Tribolium castaneum: one gene and its partners. The protein of the gene in region 1 purifies or fractionates together with the protein of each later gene. This does not show direct contact. Links are inferred from orthologs where the notes say so. Each region holds a gene or a part of one and is shown on either strand. Other genes may lie near its edges.

Region 1 (8,385 bases):
TTTTGCGATAGTAGTAAATTTCTTGGTCAAGAAGCTCGAAAAGTCTGGGAGGGAAAAACTGGAAATCTTGTACGATAGGTTGTTTAGGAGGACGTGGTGCTTTCGGCGCTTTGGGCTCAGAAACACGTAAAGCTTCCCTGAAGTAGGCATCGACGGCATAATTGGCCTTTCTTTCACGCTTCGGAGGCTCGATCCAGGTGTTCAAACCGATGTTTTTCTGCTTTTCGCGATAATCCTCGCCTTCGAACTTGTAAACGGACTCTGTTGGCGTGTCCACAGTGAAGTTGCGCAAGGATGACTCGCCGAGAGCTTCGAGTTTTTGGGCCAGTTCCGCTGTCTAATTTTTTTTTATTAGATTAATGTTATAGTCAGGGAGGAGCACAAATAACTAGAGGATTCGAAACGATATACTAATTTAAACCTCCTCGATAGTTCAATAAATTAAAAAAATGGTTGTATTTAAATAACTGTGAATACAACGCAAATAAAAAAAAGTAGATTAGATCTCGTTTCGTCTCCTACGTAGTTAGGAGGTGAACTTTGTTAGTACTGGGAAATTAAGTATTTTACCTTTGCTTCGCCTTTTTGTAAGATAGTGTCGATGTCTTCATCGGTGATTTCCGAGTCTTTCGATGCGAAGACATGATTGGCCCCGTGCCGGATCATGTTCAACATCTCGTCTTTGTTCAAAGACTGCGATTTGTTGTCGATTAGACGCCCTTGTTGTATCACTAACTTGTCTAGCCTCAGCTTGACTTCGGCCCGTTCTACGATTTTTTCCTCGACTGTATTTTCGGTGATAAGTCTGAACACACGAACTTGTTTCTTTTGGCCGATCCTGTGCGCTCTGTCCATGGCTTGGAGGTCCATTTGCGGGTTCCAATCCGAATCGTAGATGATGACAACGTCTGCTGTTGCTAAATTAATACCCAAACCTCCGGCTCTCGTCGACAACATAAAAATAAATTTTGAGCTATTTGGCTCATTATATTCGTTGATTTGGCGTTGCCGGTCCTCGTGCGGCGTCTGTCCGTCCAATCTACAATAATTGTACTGTCTCCAGTGGCAGTAATCCTCCAAAATGTCCAACATTCGTGTCATTTGTGAAAAAATCAAAACCCTCGAGTCCTGCTCTTTTAATTTGGGCAGAAGCTTGTCCAAAAGCACCATTTTCCCGCAATTGTAGACTAAATGTTCGTCGGTGGTGTACGGGGGCCCAGGCTCAGCCCCATCGAACAAATAAGGGTGGTTTGAACACTTACGCAATTGCATGAGAATGTTCTGTAGTCTCATTTTTTCTACTTTACCGGCCCCGTTTACCACATCAATATCCTTCATCAGGACTTTAGTATACCACTCGCGCTGCATTTTGCTCAAACCGACGTAAACTTTGAGTTCTTTTTTCGGTTTTAATTTTTTCTCGACCTCGGATTTGAGACGTCTCAATAGAAACGGCTTCAAGACAGCGTGCAAGCGTTCGACTAACTGGTTATCACCCAAACACTGGTTTGTGTTAAACCAAGCGTCGAAATCATCAGCAGAGTTAAAAACATCAGGGAGTAAAAAGTTAAGGAGGGCCCAAAGTTCGTGTAAATTATTTTGTAAGGGGGTACCGGTGAGTAAGAGACGATTTGTTGTTTTAAACTCACGGAGAATCTCCGATAATTTCGATTTCTCGTTTTTAATACGATGAGCTTCGTCTATTACCATGTAGCGCCAGTTGAATTTCTTAAAAACTGATTTTTCTTTGATAACCATTTCGTACGAAGTCACACAGACGTCCCAATCGCCTGGCATCATCACGTCCCGAATGAAAGCATTCTAAAAAAATAATTAACGAAACACAATTAGAATTAAAGGATCCATTCTATCAAAGCGGGGTTGTTATGATGACTAAGGTTGAAAAACATCTTAAATTCATAGAAAAATATAAAGATGCTTCAACTTTTTCCAACCATATTCTCTCTTCTAATCATTTTTGTACTGACAGTGATAAGGAAGAGGCCTTAACCTTAACCCCCTGTTACCAGCCCCCTTTTACGCCACTGATGAAGAATGTAATCGCGAAAGCGCTCTGTCCTATCACTCTTTTTGGATATTATAAATTTTTACGTAGGTTGGACTTTGTGTTTTCCAACCTTAGTCAAAACACAATTAAACTAAACCAGGTCTTACCCTGGCCTCTTGGTCCCCAATGAGACACACAGCGCGGATGCTGGGACACCACTTCTTGAATTCGTTCATCCAATTGGCTAGAGTCGACTTGGGGACAATCACAATGTGAGGAGACGGCGTGTTTTTATAATGTTTCATGAAACCTAGCAAGGAAATGGTCTGGAGCGTCTTCCCGAGCCCCATTTCGTCGGCCAAGATCCCATTGATCCCGTTTTCGTACAAAGACACCATCCAGTTCAGCCCCCGGATTTGGTAGTCCCTCATTTCCCCGTTCTTGATGAAAGGCGGCGAGGCTTCGAACCGAATCGTCGGTTTGGCCTTGGCATTGCTTTCGGCCAGCAGTTCTTCATCTTCTTCCTGCTCGGTCTTGCGGTGGCGGTGGTCCGCCACTGGGTCTTCCTTGATTTTCTTGGGACGGCCCGATTTCGGTTTCGAAGGCGTTTTGTTTTGGTTCATAAAGTGGGAGAAAATCTCGGTTTGTTTGAGCAGGTAATCGAAACGGCGGCTGCGGTCCGTTTCGAGTTTGGTCTCGAAGTCTTCGCCCTTCCCACGCGACGAGAGGGTGTCCGAAGACGAGGCATTCTTCAATTTCATAAATAAAGCAGAGTCAATGACCCGTTTTTACTTTTACTATTGTGGTTGTTTTAACAACAAGGCTCTTACCGAATTCTCACCAGTGTCAGCGGTTTCACCGCCTTCTTCCACTTTGGACATGGTGCTGGGTGCGCGAAATTCTTAGCTAAAACTACGGAATGTTGGTTTTTAACGACGATAATTTGGAAAAATGCCGTTCATTTAATGATTCGGAAGCGATACGTAGCGGGAAACACTACGAACTAGTCGCAGGACGGCCGCATCTGGGGGCAAATGCGTCAAACTGGTGAAACACCAACAATCCCTACACACTTTGAGCCCATTTTCGGGCGAAAATACAACAATAATTGCATGCTGCACCCCACAACAACGAGAGAATTTTATGATGTGGACAAATTTTTAAAAGACAATTTTTCATAAGGCGGTGAAAGCGTTTTAGACGGTGGCCTTGTAAATGTTGGTAGTCCCGACTGTCAGATTGTTTAAAACGCCGGATGTTTGGTTGTGTTATCTCAACATCAACAGTTTTGGAATAAAAACATAAAACCGTTCCTGATAATGGTAATTGACTATTTTCAATAAGTACTTAGGCGTTAGTATTGATTTTAGACGACGTCCCCTTCCTTTGTTTTAAAAAAGAATCTCTCCTCAGTTCGTAAGAAGATGGCAGGCTCCAAATTTGAGTTGACTGAAGAGCAGAAGAACGATATTAAAGAGGCGTTCGATTTGTTTGATAATGAAGGCTCTGGGAAGATCGACGCCAAAGACCTGAAGGTGGCAATTAGAGCGTTGGGATTTGAGCCAAAGAAGGAAGAAATCAAGAAAATGATTGCTGATATTGATACACAGGGAACTGGAAAACTGTCTTTTGATGATTTCTTGCAATTGATGACCATGAAAATGGCCGAAAAGGATTCGAAAGAGGAGATCATGAAGGCGTTTCGCTTGTTTGACGATGACGAGACCGGAAAAATCAGTTTTAAGAACCTGAAAAGAGTGGCTAAAGAACTAGGAGAGAATCTCACAGATGAAGAATTGCAAGAAATGATTGATGAAGCAGACAGGGATGGAGATGGTGAAATCAATCAGGAAGAATTCTTGCGAATTATGAAGAAAACCAGTTTGTACTAAGTTGGAAACATACCAGGTGATTTCGTAAAATGCTAAAATGACAGCCTTACAAGAATTAAATGCACAGTTTCCTGTCCTATTCGCAATTTAATTTGTTTAAAATGTATTTGGTTTTGCATTAAATTGTAAGGCTAGTCTAGTCGTCTTGCGTGAATCACCCTGTACCAATTAATTGTTTGGAAACGTCTAGTCACCGTTGCACAAATTGTCAGTATTGTAAGTAGTCTAATATTTGTAACTTCTTAACTCAGTCTTAATCATTTTCCAAATTTTCATGCATTATTTTTAAGAAAAACTCGTATATATTTCTACTAAACCATCAAAAACAACGTTGAATTTGACTGTGATTTTTAACCCTTTTTTTCTAACTCAGATTTTCCTAAAAACATCAATTTTAAAATCGACTCATTTTTCTAAAATAAATTGTTTTTAGAAAAACCTGTCTGAGAAAAAAAGGGTTAAAAATAAAATTCAAGTTGTTTTTGATGTTTTAGTAGAAATACGGGTTTTTGTTAAAAATAAAGCGTAGAAACATGACAAAGATGAGTGGGCAAATAATCTGAGTTAAAAGGTTACACATGTTAGACCACCATTGTAAAATGTGTGTTGCACGAGATGCTTTATTTAATTTTGAAAATACAACATATAAAAATATAAAATATATATTTTTAAATAACATTCCTTCAAATAAATCAATGGATGAATTAAATTTGTTCTTTGACTGACCCATCGGCCAACCCAAAATAGGCCTTCTTGGCCATGTTAACAAATAGTCCCGTCTCCACAACTCCCGGAATGAGATTCAATTTGGTGTTGATTGTGTCCCATTTATAATCCTGGAAGTTTTTCCAATCCAGGATAAAATTCCCATTATCGGTGACCACAGGTCCAGCTTTGGCTTTAGCCATTCTGAGCTCAACTGTCCCTCCCAGTTGGTTTTCAATTTGCGTTTTAATGGGGAGATAGGCCATCGGAACAACTTCAATCGGAATCCCCTTTTTGTATTGTTCCCCCAGCTTTTGTGAATTTTTGGTATAATCCGCTATAATAATTAACTCCTTGGCGCAGCTAGCAACAATCTTCTCCTGCAATAAGCATCCCCCACCTCCTTTAATCAATGTCAAGGTGGAATCAACTTCATCGGCACCATCAATGCAAACATCCAATCTTGGATGTATCTCTAGGTCGGTTAGGTGCAGCCTGTGCTGGATGATCAATTGCCTGGCTTGAAAGGACGTTGGGACACACTGTACATTTAATTTTTCGTTTTTCACACGTTCGGCTAACCTCTCAACGGCGTAAACAACGGTGGAGCCGCTGCCGACACCCACAATGGAATTGTTTTGCACGTGGAGGTCCACAGCTTTGTAGGCCGCCAGTTTTTTAGCACTTTCGAGGGATGCCATCGTGACGAATGATCTCCTTAAAAGTTGAAATAAATTCATGGATTTTAAGATAAATTATTCAACTTACGTTTCGCAACGTGCTCATGCGCCTCTGCAGCTTCCTTTTGTGGCTCTATTTTCAAAGTTGCGAGCTGGAAACCGGATAAATTGCACGCTTGTGGGAATAATACGTAACAATTTAATTACTTATTCAACGTAAACAACTATTACCAGTGTCGTTTTCCCCATGTAATTATTTATTACTCCGTTGGTCATCATTTTTTAACGAATGAGAGTGATTAGTGATTTCTGATTTCATTGAGAATGATTTAAATTTCATTAAATCTACTCGTATCATTAGTTAGGTAGGAGTACACGAGTTATTAATATAGCATCATTTTCAAAATGAAAAGAAAATAAAATATATAATTTTTTTTTCAAAAAGCCTTAACTTCTTCACTTTTAAATACCTTGCTACCTTAAGTTTTAGAGTTGTCTTCCTAGGGGTGTTTTCAAATAAAAAAAAATGGGGGGTACAATAGAGTTATCAATTTTTGAAGGGGATTAAAGCATTTGAAAAAGGTAAGTATAACACTTACGTATTCTGAGGCCAGCTTTTTTTGGTAATTTAAAAAAAAATTGTAAAATATTTGAAATAATATTAAAAAACGCAAAAAATACTACGTACTACATATTTTTCCGATTCATTTCGGCGATTTTTCGGTTTATTCTTTGGCAGACTGGTGTTTCTAGACAAAAAATGTGCCGACCAAAAAAACGCATAAGCGGCAAAGTAATTTCATTTTGGATTCAATTTACTAGTTTTTCAGCTTAGTTTAGCCAAATTTCGAGAAGAACGAACTGCCTTTTCATCTTAAAAACGTGTTTAAATTAAATTAAAAATGTAAACAGTGCTCTAATATTATGAAATATTGTAACTCGGCAAAAAATATTGGTTTCATAATTTTTACTGTGAGGTGAGATGCGGATAATACTTGACCTGGTATTTAATTTAATTTCAAATGCATCATCGTCAAAAAACTATTGTTTGCTAATGTTTTTTCACGTGTCCGGAAAATTTTCGAACGTGCCATAAAGGTGCACCTTAACTGGTTTAAATAACACCACTTATCACAATGATACTAGTATGGATATCACGCTCTTTTTGATGATTACAGGTATTTTAATTAAAACTTGATAGTTGCACTTACAGTTGGCTCACTTACTGATTTTTTTATTGATAATATACCTACTTGTAGTCGAACCAAATCAGTAAATAAATACAAAAGTATTTTATTAAAGTAGTTGAAAGTATTCTAACAACTCTTATTTCCTGAAAAAAACGGAAGTAGTGAGATGAATTAACAACATAAATTGAAAAATCTAATAGTTCATTATTTATTATATTACTTCACATTTTTTTTACTTTTTTATTTGATTGTGCATGTCTTTAATAAATATATCGGTTAAATATGATTTCAAGCGTGTAAACCTGGCGTTTTTTAATATTTGAAACTTTTTAACAAACATTGGTTCAAATAACTATTTACCAATCTGAAAATCTGAGACGCTTTTCTGCAATTCCGCCTTTTATCTCCAGCTCTTCTAATTGGATGGGGATATTAACATGAACACCGTATCAGCAAAGCTCTATATTTGGATGCAAACTGGTGAACAGTTATTTCTCTAGCTGATTATTGGGAGCAAGCAATTAGACTTCAGCTTTAAAAATTTTAGAACCGACACTTAAACTGAATGACGTGTAACACAATCGTGCTTTGCATCAAAATTTTTCGACCAGACTTGTGTAAAATATGCATGTTTGTTCGAACGTAGTGTTTCCTGCAGCTCGCCTTTTAATCTAAGAAAAATGCATCAGGAGATTTATCTTTATCTTGCGAAAGTAATTTTGCCAAGCTTCTGAAAGTTGTGTGCGGGTAAACTAATGGAAGGTGCGAGACCATTTTGAAATATTTAGTTGGTAGCGTCTAAACGTCGGAGTTATTTAATTATTGCCGGTTCTGGCTAAATGACAAAATTAGGTTTGTGAAGGAAGGACGTCGTTATACCCATATTGTTGCCTATCACGCTACAATTTAAAAGTTTTATTCGGCTTTGTTGCAGTAAAATTTCTACGAAGTAATCATCACACATATTTGAATTCAAAGTTCATTGTAATTCTGATTACTGGAATTTAAATCATGACCTAATTTACAAATAAAATAAACGCTCTCATTGGAAAACAATATCAATGAGAATAATGCAAAAACATCAAGCTTAGTCGGGTTGTGTTCTTTCCAAATACAGGTTTGTGCCCACATTTCGCCCAGTTATCACATTAACATAATTCTGTTTCAGCAATGAAGCATCCGCTCTTGTTGTGCGTCCTTGGAGCGGTGATAAGCACTGTGTTCTCTGCCGAACCACCGGCGTGTGACTACGAACACGACATTAGGACCTATTTCTGCAAACGCATCCGAGACGTGTTTCCCAACATTTTCTACGGAAACTACCACCTGCAATGTGAGCAGTGCAACATCCGGATTTTTACCAACAAGACCTTCCCTTTCTCCAACAGTCTAGTCTCATTCAACGTTTCCGAAAGTGCAATCAGAGTAATCACTTCTAGGGCCTTCTCCTCCTTATCAAACATACAATACCTTTATTTACAAAACAACATTATCGAAGACATTGAGCCGGGGGCTTTCGCCGGTCTCCGCCAAGTCTACGAAGTCCATTTAGAAAATAACAATCTGGGGAAAATCGTGCCGGGGTTTTTGGACGATTTGGAAGCGAACACCGTTGATTTGAAGAACAACAAGATCAAGCACTTGCCAAGTGGGGTGTTTGGAGGCTCTTTGGGAGTCCTCATTCTTGACTTGTCGAAGAACCGCATCAAGACTATCGAACCGGACGCATTTGCGGGTTTGGAGAGCTTGGAAGTGTTGAATTTGGAAAACAATGAGCTTTGTCATTTGACTTGTGGCGTTTTTAAACACCTCTCGACCCTGAGACAGCTGAACTTGGCTGATAATAAGTTGTCCAAGTTTACGGTTGGGACTTTTTCGGGCTTGACACACTTAACGAGCTTGAATTTGGC
Region 2 (6,388 bases), on another chromosome or scaffold:
AACAGTCTGTATAAGAAATGAACCAGAAAAAAACGCATAATTTATTATTTGAACCAATACATTTCATAAATCATTTCCTGTACCATTTAATTTGCAAATGCAAGCGCCCATGTCATTGCATTGCCCTCCAGCCTTCCGCTCCAAATTGCACAGTCGAGCACAGTTGGAATGGTCAAACATCATTCTTTTGGTGTCCCGGTTATAACCGAGTGCATCACATGGTGACAACTTCGAATTGATTATTTCTGACTTGGGGTGACCACAAACGAGGCAAAGCCCCATCACTAGTGTGACAACTACCCGAAAATTCATCTTACTTCACTGAGGGAATAATGAAAAACAAGAAATGAAGAGATAAACTTTTATTTCATAATTGATCTGGGTCAGATGACTCATATGAGATAAAAATGTTAATGATAATTGATAACATAAATGATGGGTACAGACGACTTGTACAGACGCACCAGAGGCGTAGCAAAATAAATCCGAAAAAAATTAATGTAAGATCCTAATACTGTATAAAATTTTCTAGACTCATTCAGCCTGTGCCTAAACTAAATAATGTTTTCGTAACAAAGAAGACACATTAATGTGTAACAAAAAAACAATATATTTTGTAAAAAATTAAAAGACAGAAATGTAAATAATTATTCAGATCCCTTGTGCACTTTACTGCGGTGCACCTGCAACTGCTGCTTCGTTCTGAACCCCTTCTCACATTCGTCGCAATCAAAGTCCTTCACATTGAGATGAATTTTCAAATGAACATTCAACTGTTGCTTAAACGTGAAACTCTTGCTGCAAAATTCACACTCAAACTGTTTATACCCCGAATGAACTAGCAGATGATTCTGCAACTGCTGCTTAAATTTGAAAGTCTTATCGCAGAGGCCACACTCGTGGGGCTTGATATCACTGTGCATTTTCATGTGGTTCCTCAGGTGGAGCTTTAATTTGAACTCTTTATGGCAAACACTACACTCGAACTCTTTTTCATCGCAATGGACCTTCTCATGGTTCTGCAGCGTTTGCTTCAATTTGAAATCCTTGCCACACACGCAGCAACAAAACGGCCTCTCATTGCTGTGCACCAAAAAGACATGTTTCTGCAACTGGTGCTTGAACTTGAACCGCTTCTCGCACAAGAGGCACTCGAAACTGTGGCTTTTGTCGTGACTTCTCACATGCATCTTTAGCCAATTCCTCCGTTTGAACTTTTTGGGGCAGAGTTCGCACTCAAACGGGTGATTCTTGATGTGGTTCATGACGTGAACTGTTGCTGCCTCGGCGAGACTTGACAAAGGGCCCTAAAAGCACTGATAAGCAACTAAAAGAGTTACTTGGATGGGACTGACATTCTAAGGTTATGTCAAATAAACATGAGTTTAGGGGGCCGAAGGCCCCATAAGGAGGGTTCAGCAAAACGACCGGCTTCTACTTAACGTTTATTCAAGTTGCGTTTTATACAGTTTCATTGATTTTATTAAATATTTACAATCTTGTGTGAATAGACGGTCGGTAACACAAAGGAATCTTTTTTACCGACTCACAACTAATTCAAAATAACTTTAATTAATAACTATTTACAATAAGAATGGTCGATTTGGTCGTTTGGTTCGACTTTAATCTCCCCCAGCTCAAACACCGAGTGCTCGTCCAAGTCCAGCGGCTCCACCTTGATGCACTCCTCGAAAATATTCTCCGGTAGTTCCCCCGCGTTTTGTATATCGTCCGGATCAACGCCTACGTACTCGGGTCCGGTCAACTTGAGGGGGTCCTCCCTCGTGCAGTCCCCCACACTCACACTGCCCCCAAAAACACTCACGTCGACCTCCTCGATCTGGAGGTCCAAATTGCGGCTGGGGACGTGGTCCGGGTTCAGCGGATCGTCCACCGGGAAGCCCAGTATGAAGTGGTCCGAGCACACCGTCACCTGGTTGTCGCTGCAAGCCCTGGTGAACCTCTTCCAAGCGTGGAAACGTGTCCAGTTCGTCTCGTTGCGCTCCAGCGTGAAGAAGTGCTTGTTTTTGTGGACGTTGTCCTGGTTGTGGCACGAGCGCACGTCGCACTCGCGGACGGTGATGGGGGCTTGGGGCAGGTTCAAGGTGGGGATCGCCCTCGCATTGAGGGTGTCTGGGACTGTGGTCTCTCCGTAGTAGTCGGTCTTCTGGAAATGCATGGAACAGACGCGCTCGCAACGCGCTGGGGTTCTCATGAGGAGGATTTCCTCCCATAGCTTGCGGATGCACATCAGTTTTTTGGGACCACCGGCGTCGAGGGTGCTTACGGAGAGGTAAGTCGTGTCTTTGGGGGGAAATGGGTGGAAAGATAGTAAGGGGTGGGTTCGGCTGTTGGTATGGCAGTTTGAAACCGAGCAAAAGTAATTATCTTTCATTTTTTCATAGATTTCAACAGGTTTTTGCCAAAAATGCGAAAGAGAGGTTAAGTGCACTGTTGACAACTGTCACAATAAAATCATAAATTAATAATAATTTCAACCAATTTAGGCCGAGGATTAATAATAATTAATTTAATCATGGTCGTAATATATTAATTACGTGCATCTGTGGTGGTTTTTGCACAATTTTTTCGTAAAATATTAGGGTACGTTCCATAAAATTGTGCTAGTGTCACTTGGAATAACGGATCCTTGTATCTCCTCTTATCTGTATCACTGAATTAATAATCTTTCAGTATTTTGTAATTATGTAATTATGTATATTTCATAATCATAAACGAATTTTTTGCTGAACAGCTCAATTAGGTCATTCAATTTTTTTTACAAAAAAAATTGTTTAAGTGTTTATTATCAGTTAGTTTATTCGTTAATTGCAAAATTTTCAAGTTTTTATATCGTGATAAGTAACGTCTAATAAGAATTTTTTTATTATTTTAATTTTTAAAGACTTGAATTCTATTTCAAATTTTTTAGAAAAATTTTAAATTAAGTATCATGTGGTGATAAATTTATTGCCAAAAACGCACCAATTAAACCCCGATAAAGTCATGTTTTTTATTAAAAAGGTGTTGAAGCCTTATGTTGACACGTGGATATATTGTTTCCTTTAATAAAGTATTCAAAAATTGTTACTTTCCATGTTGCGTTTTTGACAGATAACAAATCAGTCTTTCAACAACACATAAATAACAATCAAGTCACCACATATCTGTCGTTTGTCAATTACGGCAGTTGTTTTCCCAGCCGCCTCCCCCAACCGACCAAAATTTCCACATATAGCCCGACCTCGCGTACTTAAAAATAAATCACAAAAAAGCCGAATAATTTACACCGAGTAAATAAATAAATAGACAATGACGTCACTTGTCAACATTTTGGTAGCCTCTGTTCCACCCCCCACCAGTGCGTGTTTTGTCCAGTGACGTCTTGTGCAGTTTTCTCGAATCGCGTCGATTAGCTTCACGCTTTGTTACCCCATCGTCGAATACGAATTTTTGCAACAAAACCAATCGATACACCGTGCAAACGACTCATTTTCCCAATCGAAATCGCGAAAAAACCGCGAGTAAATTCCGGTCTAGTGTGCAGTGCTGCTGTCATTTTCCTTCCCGATCCAGAGTGCTGTGAAAAAATTTCGAGAGGGTTGCGATGGTTGCCGTTTTTTAGCATCGTTTTCGGGGAAAACGTCGATTTTTTGGTGAGTTTTCCACTGTTTGTTTTTGCGCAAAGTGGGCCAGTGGGCGGGGTGATATTTTGGGAGCAAGTCGCGACGAAAATACTCATTTATTCGTGAATTCGGTATTTTGGGACGAGGCAGTGGCGTACGCGGATTTTTGGCAAAGGGGGCAATGTCACGTGACTGCGTTAATAGACAGATGACGGCCATTGTGTGACGTCATTTCAGTGTCATGTCGTCCAAGCCATGGGGGGCCTTGCCCATCGTCCGGATAAACACCATAATGAAGAGTTCTTCAGAAGCGGAAAATATCAGTCGGGAGTCGTCGTTAATGATGACGAAAGCCGCCGAACTCTTCATTAAAATGTTGGCCCAGGAGGGCTATAAGTTATCCGCCACGGGTAAAAAACTTGATTACAAACACTTGTCAGAAGTGGTCAATCGGGATGAGAAATACGAGTTCTTGCAAGATATCATGCCGAAGAAAATCACGTATGCTGAGTACAAGAAAATGCAAGAGGGCCAACTGAACGGCGCCGAAAATCACCAAGAGATTTCAAGCGATGAGGAATCCAGCAGCAACTCGAATAGTGAATAAATTTTTGATTTTTCAATTTTTGTTTGATTTTTTTTCCAAGTTCAAGATTAACTGGCACGTGGCTGCTTGCGTGTAACGACTCTCCTCCTCCCCTATTCTTGCAAATACAGGGGTGGAATTTCCCCGGACGGTTATCGATTCGGACTTTCAAGGGCAGCGCTGCGGAAGTTACACCTGCTAGCCCTTTATTTATTTATTGTGGTGGCACCACTGACACAAAAAACCCTAAAGTCTAGCCCACTATGACCTTAAAATGCCTACAAGAAATAAACCCATACAGAATAATGCCCACAAAGAATAAACCCCACGTCGAAAAAATTCACATGAAAAAACCTAGGTACACGGAAAAAAGCTCACAAGTTAAGAAATGTATTGTGAAAAAAACCCACATGAAAAGAAAACCACACTGAAAAAAGCCCAGACGGATAAAAACTCACATGGAAAAAAGCTCACACAGAAAATACTCACATACCTCAAGAAAGAAAGAAGTTCACTACTACTTCAATAACTTCATTTTACGGTATCTTTAAGAGTTACTCAAAAAATACACTATAAATATTTTACATTAACAAAAAAATCTTACTTTATCCCAAACGCTACGTTGTACACTTTTAATAAGATAGTTGGCGGCACACTGGCGGATCCAAAAATTGGGGGGGGGGCTTCAAAAAATTTTAGAATGGTGAAGGTTAAGCTATTGAATAAAACTTTTATTTTAAATTTATAAGTAAAACAAAAAAAATACAACAAATAAAATTAAGTTATTTTTGTCTAAAAAAATTGCTTGTTACCCTTTTGGATATCCTAATTCCTACTCTTGAATAGGACTGTATAAACTCATCCTAAATATTTTTATTGTTATCCGAATAATTTTATAAATTTATAAATCTAGCCACGTTTATTTTTCCGTGAGCTTTTTTCTTGAGGATTGTGGGCTTATTTCATGGATATACAGTTTATTTCGATAGTATAGGCCCACTCGATCCTTGATTGTGACATAACCGGCGATTGTTTGAAGAGCAGATAAGAGAATTGATCCAGATTTGGGTCTCCTTATCACCGACGTTTAAGGAAACGGTCTCAATGTTTTTTTTTGTTAAGAGCTCGTGATGATTAAGATGTTTCGTTATCACTGAAGGAAGTTAACAGACCCGGACGAGTCTGAACCAGCGGCGCTCCTTTTTCATAAAACTGGCGCCAAAATTCAAGCCAAGATGACCCTCTTATCCACTTCAAATCACACTTTTAGTTCAAATCCCTTCTAATCTTTGATTAAACCAACATAGCGATAAAGATTCTTTGCACAATAACTACACTTTACCCCCTCTTCTACGCCACTGCCTCCGTAAATGATAACACAAAAGAGTATTTAGAAGTGGCCCCAGTCTCTCGTATCAGACGACACATGTTCGTGTCCAACCTCCGTAAAAAGTGAATTTTTCTCCCATTTTTTTCCGTCCAGTGCTGTTTTTACCCATTTGATGCCAGTGTCGGCGGTTATCGGGGGCGGCTACATGATGTTGGACGATTTTCAGTTGGCGGTTAGTAAATTAATAAATCAGTCTTTTGTGCTCCTGTTTACAACAATAGCTCACAATTGAAGTAACTTTTGACGCGAAACGGATCGAGGATGGCGGCGAAAATCGATGTGACCCGATTTCCTTGACATTGCGACGCGATGGCGAAATCCGGGAGACTTTGATTTCGAACAAATGAATATTTCATGCACAGCCGACTTGATCCATTTCTTAATCTTTTGTTTTACGTATCTATCGGATAAGAAGGTAATTAACCGATTAGATTGGGGTCAAGACGCGTTTGAAATGTGAAACATTTGCAAACTATTTCTGTCAGATTGAATCAGGATAGGAAAACACTTGCGGTTGTTTTTACGCAAAAATCAATCCGGTGCAAAGTTTTCCGTCTCGGGCGGCTGTGAAAAAAACACCGCTCGTAAACAAACGAGTGCGTTGACACAAAACTGAAGAGCCTCCTTGATTTTACTTAATCGTTGTCAATTGTTTATTTCAAGGCCTACGACACGCGGTATCGCTTAATTGCTGAGAAATTGTTTGGAAATTGTCATTTTTCGGCGTTTCCGCGCAGCTATTTATAAAAATTCGGATGCAAAATTGACGTAAAATGTTTGATCGTA
Region 3 (6,965 bases), on another chromosome or scaffold:
TTAGGTTTTTGAAAGTAACTTACAGGATACATTCTTCTAATCGGGCTGTAGGGGCGAAAGTCTGTTAAAATGCTATCAGTGCTTTATTTAAATCAGAAAAAAATCCTGAAAACAGAAAAAAATATTGGGTGTTCTTTGAACATTATTTCCTTTCAACATTAGGGTATTAAAGAAAAAATGAAATACTTTTGGACCAATAGTGGACCCTTAAAAATAAATTGGCTTTTGTTTTAATTTGAAATTGTCAATCGTTAACTCATCAAACTCTTAAAACGAACAAAGTAACGTCTTTTTCTTATGACGAACATGATTTCAAAAACAGATTATCGAACTTCGAATTTGCAGTGAGCAGAACATTCTCCATTAAGAATCAGTTTAAAAAACGTGTGTCCCCTAAAAATATGTGACGGCAAATGACTTGTGGGAGTAATTCTTTCCCTTAATAGAAAATGCAAAAACAGTTGACTTACGTTCACGATAAAAATGTTTTCATATCTGTTGTTCTATTATTTCACAACAGATAACGCAAATATGTTAAAACCGCTCAGTGGAAACAAAATTTGTAGGCTCTGTTAGGACTTACGTCAAAGGCGAACCGACGGGGCCCCAGCTAAAAACCGAAATTCCGGGTCCGAACTCCCGAAAACTTCACGCCGAACTCAATGCCATCCAACAGAGCGAAGCGGTTCAGTTTTTCGCCGATTACAACAAATCCCTCGGGAACTACATCGTGGATGTTGACGGGAACGTAATCCTCGACACATACAACCAAATCGCGTCAATCCCGATAGGATACAACCATCCATCCCTACTCAAAGTATTCCAAAATGAAGATAATTTGGTTAGTTCAAATAATAAAAAAATACCTAATCATAGTTTTTCAAAAAATTTAGAAAGCACTAGTCAACCGGCCAGCCCTGGGCGTATTCCCGGGCGATTACTGGCCGAAAAAGCTCCGCAGCGTATTACTCTCAGTGGCCCCCCGGCTCCCAAACGTCACCACAATGATGTGTGGCTCGTGTTCGAACGAAAACGCGTACAAAGCCATGTTTATCGCCTACCGCCGGCACCAACGAGGCGAAAACGTCGATTTCACCGACCTGGAGAAAGAGAGCTGCGTTAGTAACAAGCCACCCGGCGCCCCCGACCTGTCCCTGCTGTCCTTCCATGGGGCCTTCCACGGCCGCACTTTGGGGGCCCTCGCCACCACGCACTCCAAAGCCATCCACAAGCTCGACGTGCCCTCGTTCGACTGGCCCATCGCCCCCTTCCCACAGTACAAGTACCCCCTTGAGGAACACGCGCGCGAGAACGCGGCCGAAGACAAGAGGTGTCTCGCAGCGGTCGAGGACTTGATCCAGACTTACAATAAGAAGGGCAAACCCGTGGCGGGGATCGTCATCGAGCCCATCCAGTCGGAAGGGGGCGACAACGAGGCCTCGCCGGAATTCTTCCAACAGTTGCAGAAAATCGCCAAGAAATACGGCGCCAGTTATCTCATTGACGAAGTCCAGACAGGGTGTGGGGCCACAGGGAAGTTCTGGGCACACGAACACTTCAATCTAGAATCGCCCCCTGATATCGTCACCTTCAGCAAAAAAATGCTGACAGGGGGGTACTACCATTCGGTTGATTTGAGGCCCAAACAGCCCTACAGGATTTTCAATACCTGGATGGGGGATCCGGGGAAAATCGCCCTGTTGGAGGCGTGTCTTGAGACTATCAAAAATGAGAATCTCCTGGATAATGTTAATAAAGTCGGGGATAAGTTGAAGAAAGGCTTGTTGAGACTGGAGGCTGAATTTCCTGAAAAAATTAACTCCACCAGGGGACGTGGCACGTTTTTGGCCGTGAATGCGCACACGCCCGCTTTGCGAGACAGTATTATTGCGAAAATGAAGCAGAAAGGTTAGTGTTTGTTTGCTTGAGGACTGGGTAATGTTTCGGTTTCAGGTGTTTTGATGGGGGGCTGTGGGGATCACTCTTTGAGGCTGAGACCGTCGCTCATTTTCCAGGAACGCCACGCCGATGTGTTCCTGGAGCGCTTCAGACAGGTCCTGAGGGAAAACTAATGTAATAATTAAACAAAATAAAAATTATACTTGCGTCAGTCCTCTTCTTTCGCCTAAAACAGCGATTAGGGAATGAAACGCAGTTAATGTAAATATTATATTTACTGTTACAAGTCGATATAATACCGACCAAATATAAAAATTTCATATGTGCAAACATAAGAAGACTCTGTTAAATAACACAATATCTACAATGGCACTAACTATATCTGAATAGATGCTTTATATATCCACGTTTTATATAAATACACTACATCATGAACTCCGAAAATAATTTAAAAAACTTAAACAAGTTTATTAATTTAAATATAAATAATACAGAGCTTTTAAAAATATGTCGTAACTATTTAAATCTAACTTAAATCGCATTCGTACATATATTCACAACTTATATACAAAAAAGTCAAGATTTCAAGTTGGTCACACAATTCCTACGCTGAGATCTATTACCAATCAACTTGAAATCCCGTGTACGCACTTATTGCCTAAAATTAAAAAAGCTCATTTAAGAAACGAATCATTTGTTGGTCTCCATAAATTTATCTCTTAAGCATTTTATCTTATTCACAAAATAAGCTTCTAAAGACTCTGCACACTTGAAGAACGGAGATTCCTTTGGATTGTAGTATCGACAGTTATCGAATATTTTCGTCATGTCCCCTATAAACTCACTCAACTTTGTGTAACTTTGATCATTGATTTTATTCTCAATTTTTTGGAGGTCTGAAACAAGCGACAATCACTAAACCGCCAAAACCAAACCATAAGGACCTACCCATTGGCTCCTTAATCACCTTGTAATAATCGGGAGCTTCAGTCGGATCCACCGGCTCCATGAACGGCCAAGCGCTTTTATGAGCCTACACAAACAAAAATAATAATAAACCTTTATTAAAAAATGTAAAGAGATGAATATAAATATATTTTTTAAAGTAATACGATAAGAATAGTATGTGTTCCTATAATATTAAAAAACATAAAAATAATAATAACGAATGAAAAACAAAAATAACAAAAGAACGATTACTAAAGTAATAAATATTTTACCTTTATTTTGAATTCAAATGGTTTTCGATATTACAAATGACAACAGCATTATAAGAAACCAGGCTGTACGAAAACGTTTTACATTGTGCAGAAATCTACGGTGCACAAGTTTTCGGTTCAGGTAAAAAAGTGTTGAGGTAAACAAAATAGAATGCACTATAACTGCCATGAAAAATTTAAAATGGGAACAATTATTTCGAATTTTTTGTAAGCAGTTTTTATAACTAGAGTAAAAAGTCCTCACCTGTAATTGTTTGATTAGTTTTTTCAACGCCTCAAAGTCCTTCTGCGACAAATCCTTCATATTTGCGAAATTCACCGACGAATTCCTCTGACACCTTGGACACACATACTCGTCGATATTATCGGCTTCCGACTGCAAAATCCCCACACAGCGGCCATGGAACCAATCCTGACACCGGTCGCAACAGATATAAAACCTAAACACAAACGAATCACGCCTGAACTCAACTTCACCCAAGCCAACTCACTGTGAGTCGTCGTATGGCTGCTGACACAAACAGTACAATTTTTCCGTATCTTTGGCCTGCTTGCACTCCTCACAGACAAACTCAGTCAGCGTTCGACTACTCTCTTCGGTGATTCCCACACAATCCCCGTGGAACCAATTATTACACAAATCGCAACCGACGTAAAACTTCGTCTCGTCGTACGGCGTCCGACAAACGCAATACAATTTTTCCTTTTTAATGCCACTTCTTTGTGCCGCCGTCGATGGGACGGCATGAGTCTGTTTTTGGCCCTTCTTGTGACGAGCAGTTTTGGAGGCTTGAGGGATGACCGCCGTGGTGGCCGTCGCTGCCGATTTTCGTTTACTGCTACCAGTGCGAACCTCATCTTGTTTGGTTCGTTCGATCTTTGTCCGGGCAGCTAATTCCTCTGCTACTTCTTTCTACAATCCCAACACAATCAATATAAAATAAGATAATTTTTTTATTCAATTTACCTGAATCTCGTATTGTAATTCCTTTTCAAGTAAGGCCCGCTTTCGTAAAATGTCTTTCTTGAGAAATTCCTTCTGGCGATATAAACTGACCAATATTTTTGTTCTTTGGGTTACTTTTCGATCGGGTTCAGCCGCCTCTTTTAATTTTACGCGGGCGCGGGGCGAAATTAATTTCTCCTTGCTGGATTCACTAAAATAAAAAATAAATCACACGCGCCCTTAAATTAACAATACCAAAATAGAGCAGCAAATGCAATTAATTTTTTAAGGCTAAAAAAGACACAAAGTGTGCGACAGAGGCAACTATACTAAAAATAATTTTTCTATTTTTACATAATTAGAATTTGCGCCAACATAAAATTACTTGATATTTTTTTTATTAAAATCTTAAATATTGATAATATTGTAAGAAACGTGTAGAAGAATGATGCACTGTTATGATACGACCAAGAAACTAAAAAAATTCTTATTATTTTTTAACAAAGCGCTAATGCTACGTTTCTACTTTTTTTACGTATTTTTTAAACAAAACATTTAAGAATGACCACACGCATGACAGAGAAACCTCAAAATTTCGGTTAATATAATTAATGTTTATTGTTTTATGAATATTAGTATTTTCAATTCATTAATATTTATTACAAAAAATTGTCGAAAAAATAAAGCATCTTTAGCAAACGCAAATTTTTGTGGTTATTAGTTCAAGATTTACAGCCAAAATATGACGGTTTCCTTCTCTTTTATCAAAGTTTACTCGTTTTCAAGCAAATAATTGCCCAAAATAAGCCGTTTTCATCCAAACTGTAACTTAATTCGTTCTTTTGAGCCAGAATATAGAGCGTGTTTAGTCTGTTTAATAACAGTTTTCTCGTTTCGAAGCAAAAAAACGTCTAAAACAAGCCGTTTTCATGCAAACTATAACATAGTTCTTTTGAGACAGATTGAAACGTGTTCTGTTTGTTATATAAAAGTTAACCAATTTCTAAGCAAAGAATCGTCCAAAATAAGCCGTTTTTAGTTAAACTGTACGATAAATCGTTGTTTTGAGACAGTATAAGACGTTCTCAATCTGTTTTATAAAAGTTTCCGCGTTTCGAAGCAAAGAATCGTCCGAAATAAGCCGTTTTAATCCAAACTGTAACATTTTGAGGCAGAATAAGACTCTAAAATTAAAACAATTTACCAAACACGGCAAAACCGATCGGTTTTCTGTTTTACATATTCCGTTGTTACTGCATTTTTTTAATACTTAGTTGCTGTTGCTTGAGTAATTGATTCGTTTACTAATTAAATTGTACTTACTGTATATCGTCAATTTTTTTAATTTCGCTGTTTCTGTTGGGCCTCGAGCGCTTCGGCGTCTCCATGACCCAGTCGCTGTCGTCGTTTCTGCTGGCACTCGGGGTCCGTTTGCGCGAAACGTTAAAGCGCGTGTTACTGACCGGTAATGGAGTGTTAACTTTGGCTACTGGCGTGGGAATGTCCGGTTCTTGCTTCATTTGTTTCTCTTGATATCGTTGGAGTTGCAACAGTTTCTCTTCGATCTCGGGATTAAGGTTTTCTTGTTTAAGTGCAGTTTTAATAGCTGCATAAATTCAGACAAAAAAATATGAAAAATACAAAATAAAAGAGGGAAGTTCTGGTAATAACTAGGAGACCCAAAGCAAAACGACTTGAAAATAAAGAAGTGCAAGGTTTTTGGCAAGGAAACTCCTGGTCGCTTTTTGTAACAGTTTTATTACACAATTTTTCGGATACATTTAGGTACAGCTTACATCATCGCATGGAAATTGTTGCAACTAGATTATAATAATTTATTTACCTCAAAAGTTTCCGGTAACGTCACATGAAATAAGCGAAAACGAACAAATGTATAAAAATCAGTCTTTTTTAGGGAACAAAAACACGAAAATATCACAGAAATAAAATACGCACAATAGGGAAACTTTTGATCGAGTAGGAACCCTTGCTCTTCTAAATACTGTTCGATTGTTTAAGTTAATTAAAACCGATTGACGAAGTCGTTTTGCAATGGGTAAGTGGTACAATTAGGATTGTACACAATTACAGATGGTTGATATAGCAACATACTTTGTTGTATATAGTCAGGCGTGACGACAAACTGCTTATTCTGATCACTAGAAGCGGTTTGTTGCTGCTGTGGCGACGTTGTGACACTCTGATTAGACTCCATATTCGCTTTCATGGCTTGAAGCAGAGCAGAAGTTTGCGACTGCTGCCCATTGACAAGCACTTGACGACCCGAAGTTGTCACATTTTCGTTCGTCTGGAAGGATTGTCAAGACTTAGTGAGAAAAATTTCCACCGACCGTGCACTATACTTTTGTAGGACCATAAAGTAAACAAAAAGCTGTTTCATCATCAGTCTTTTATTCCAACACGTGTTAGTACAAACAAATGATGTGAAGCCATGAACAAAGCCGCCTCACACCCACCACAAAAACAAGAATAAGTTACATGCTTCTCACACTTTAATCTCTTCTTAAATTAACACATGCAAAAGCACCGTCGAAAAAATGTAGACGAAAGAGTAAAACAAAGACGCACTTACATATTAATAAAACATCAATCAAAGGCCAGACCATGCGACAACAAGGTTGGTTAAAATTGATCTCAAGTCAAAAGTACCTGATTAGCAGGTTGCACTATCACCTTGGGCTTGGGGGTTACGTTGCATACCTGCTGTACTGTTGAAACAGTCTGTTTGACGATGTTCGATTGTTGTCCTTTGGCTGGAGTCGCCGCCGACTGTACGACAGACTGCTGGACGGGAGCTAGCGGAGGCGGTTGACTCGAAACACCCTCGGATTGTCCTTCGGAATTGCTCGGCTGCACGGCAAGATAGATCTTAGTCGGTC

Evidence for each region.
Region 2: the proteins of Iswi (region 1) and Chrac-16 fractionate together in Drosophila melanogaster (co-fractionation; 4 studies listed by BioGRID, with this or other methods). This does not show direct contact. The link is inferred for Tribolium castaneum from reciprocal best matches to the Drosophila melanogaster genes Iswi and Chrac-16.
Region 3: the proteins of Iswi (region 1) and E(bx) purify together in Drosophila melanogaster (affinity purification with western blotting; 7 studies listed by BioGRID, with this or other methods). This does not show direct contact. The link is inferred for Tribolium castaneum from reciprocal best matches to the Drosophila melanogaster genes Iswi and E(bx).

The regions. Positions count from the first base shown.
Region 1 is NC_087402.1:7,784,898-7,793,282, forward strand, and holds the start of Iswi (chromatin-remodeling complex ATPase chain Iswi), read right to left. Parts: upstream 3,054-8,385; 5' UTR 2,890-3,053; coding exon 2,839-2,889; intron 2,758-2,838; coding exon 2,176-2,757; intron 1,822-2,175; coding exon 571-1,821; intron 338-570; coding exon 1-337. Other genes in the region: uncharacterized protein LOC660873, read left to right, coding at 3,328-3,330, 3,379-3,900; Rpi (ribose-5-phosphate isomerase), read right to left, coding at 4,605-5,306; phospholipase A2 inhibitor beta, read left to right, coding at 7,646-8,385.
Region 2 is NC_087399.1:7,014,143-7,020,530, forward strand, and holds Chrac-16 (chromatin accessibility complex 16kD protein), read left to right. Parts: upstream 1-3,867; coding exon 3,868-4,233; downstream 4,234-6,388. Other genes in the region: zinc finger protein 157-like, read right to left, coding at 648-798, 829-1,293, 1,341-1,357; uncharacterized protein LOC107398497, read right to left, coding at 1,580-2,395. UniProt on the Drosophila melanogaster protein: Histone-like protein which promotes nucleosome sliding of ATP-dependent nucleosome remodeling complexes. Part of the chromatin-accessibility complex (CHRAC) which uses energy/ATP to increase the general accessibility of DNA in chromatin.
Region 3 is NC_087395.1:15,336,021-15,342,985, reverse strand, and holds the end of E(bx) (nucleosome-remodeling factor subunit NURF301), read right to left. Parts: coding exon 6,736-6,965; intron 6,374-6,735; coding exon 6,178-6,373; intron 5,672-6,177; coding exon 5,389-5,671; intron 4,277-5,388; coding exon 4,087-4,276; intron 4,033-4,086; coding exon 3,611-4,032; intron 3,560-3,610; coding exon 3,364-3,559; intron 2,933-3,363; coding exon 2,848-2,932; intron 2,796-2,847; coding exon 2,590-2,795; 3' UTR 2,156-2,589; downstream 1-2,155. Other genes in the region: 4-aminobutyrate aminotransferase, mitochondrial-like, read left to right, coding at 567-841, 894-1,908, 1,954-2,072. UniProt on the Drosophila melanogaster protein: Histone-binding component of NURF (nucleosome remodeling factor), a complex which catalyzes ATP-dependent nucleosome sliding and facilitates transcription of chromatin.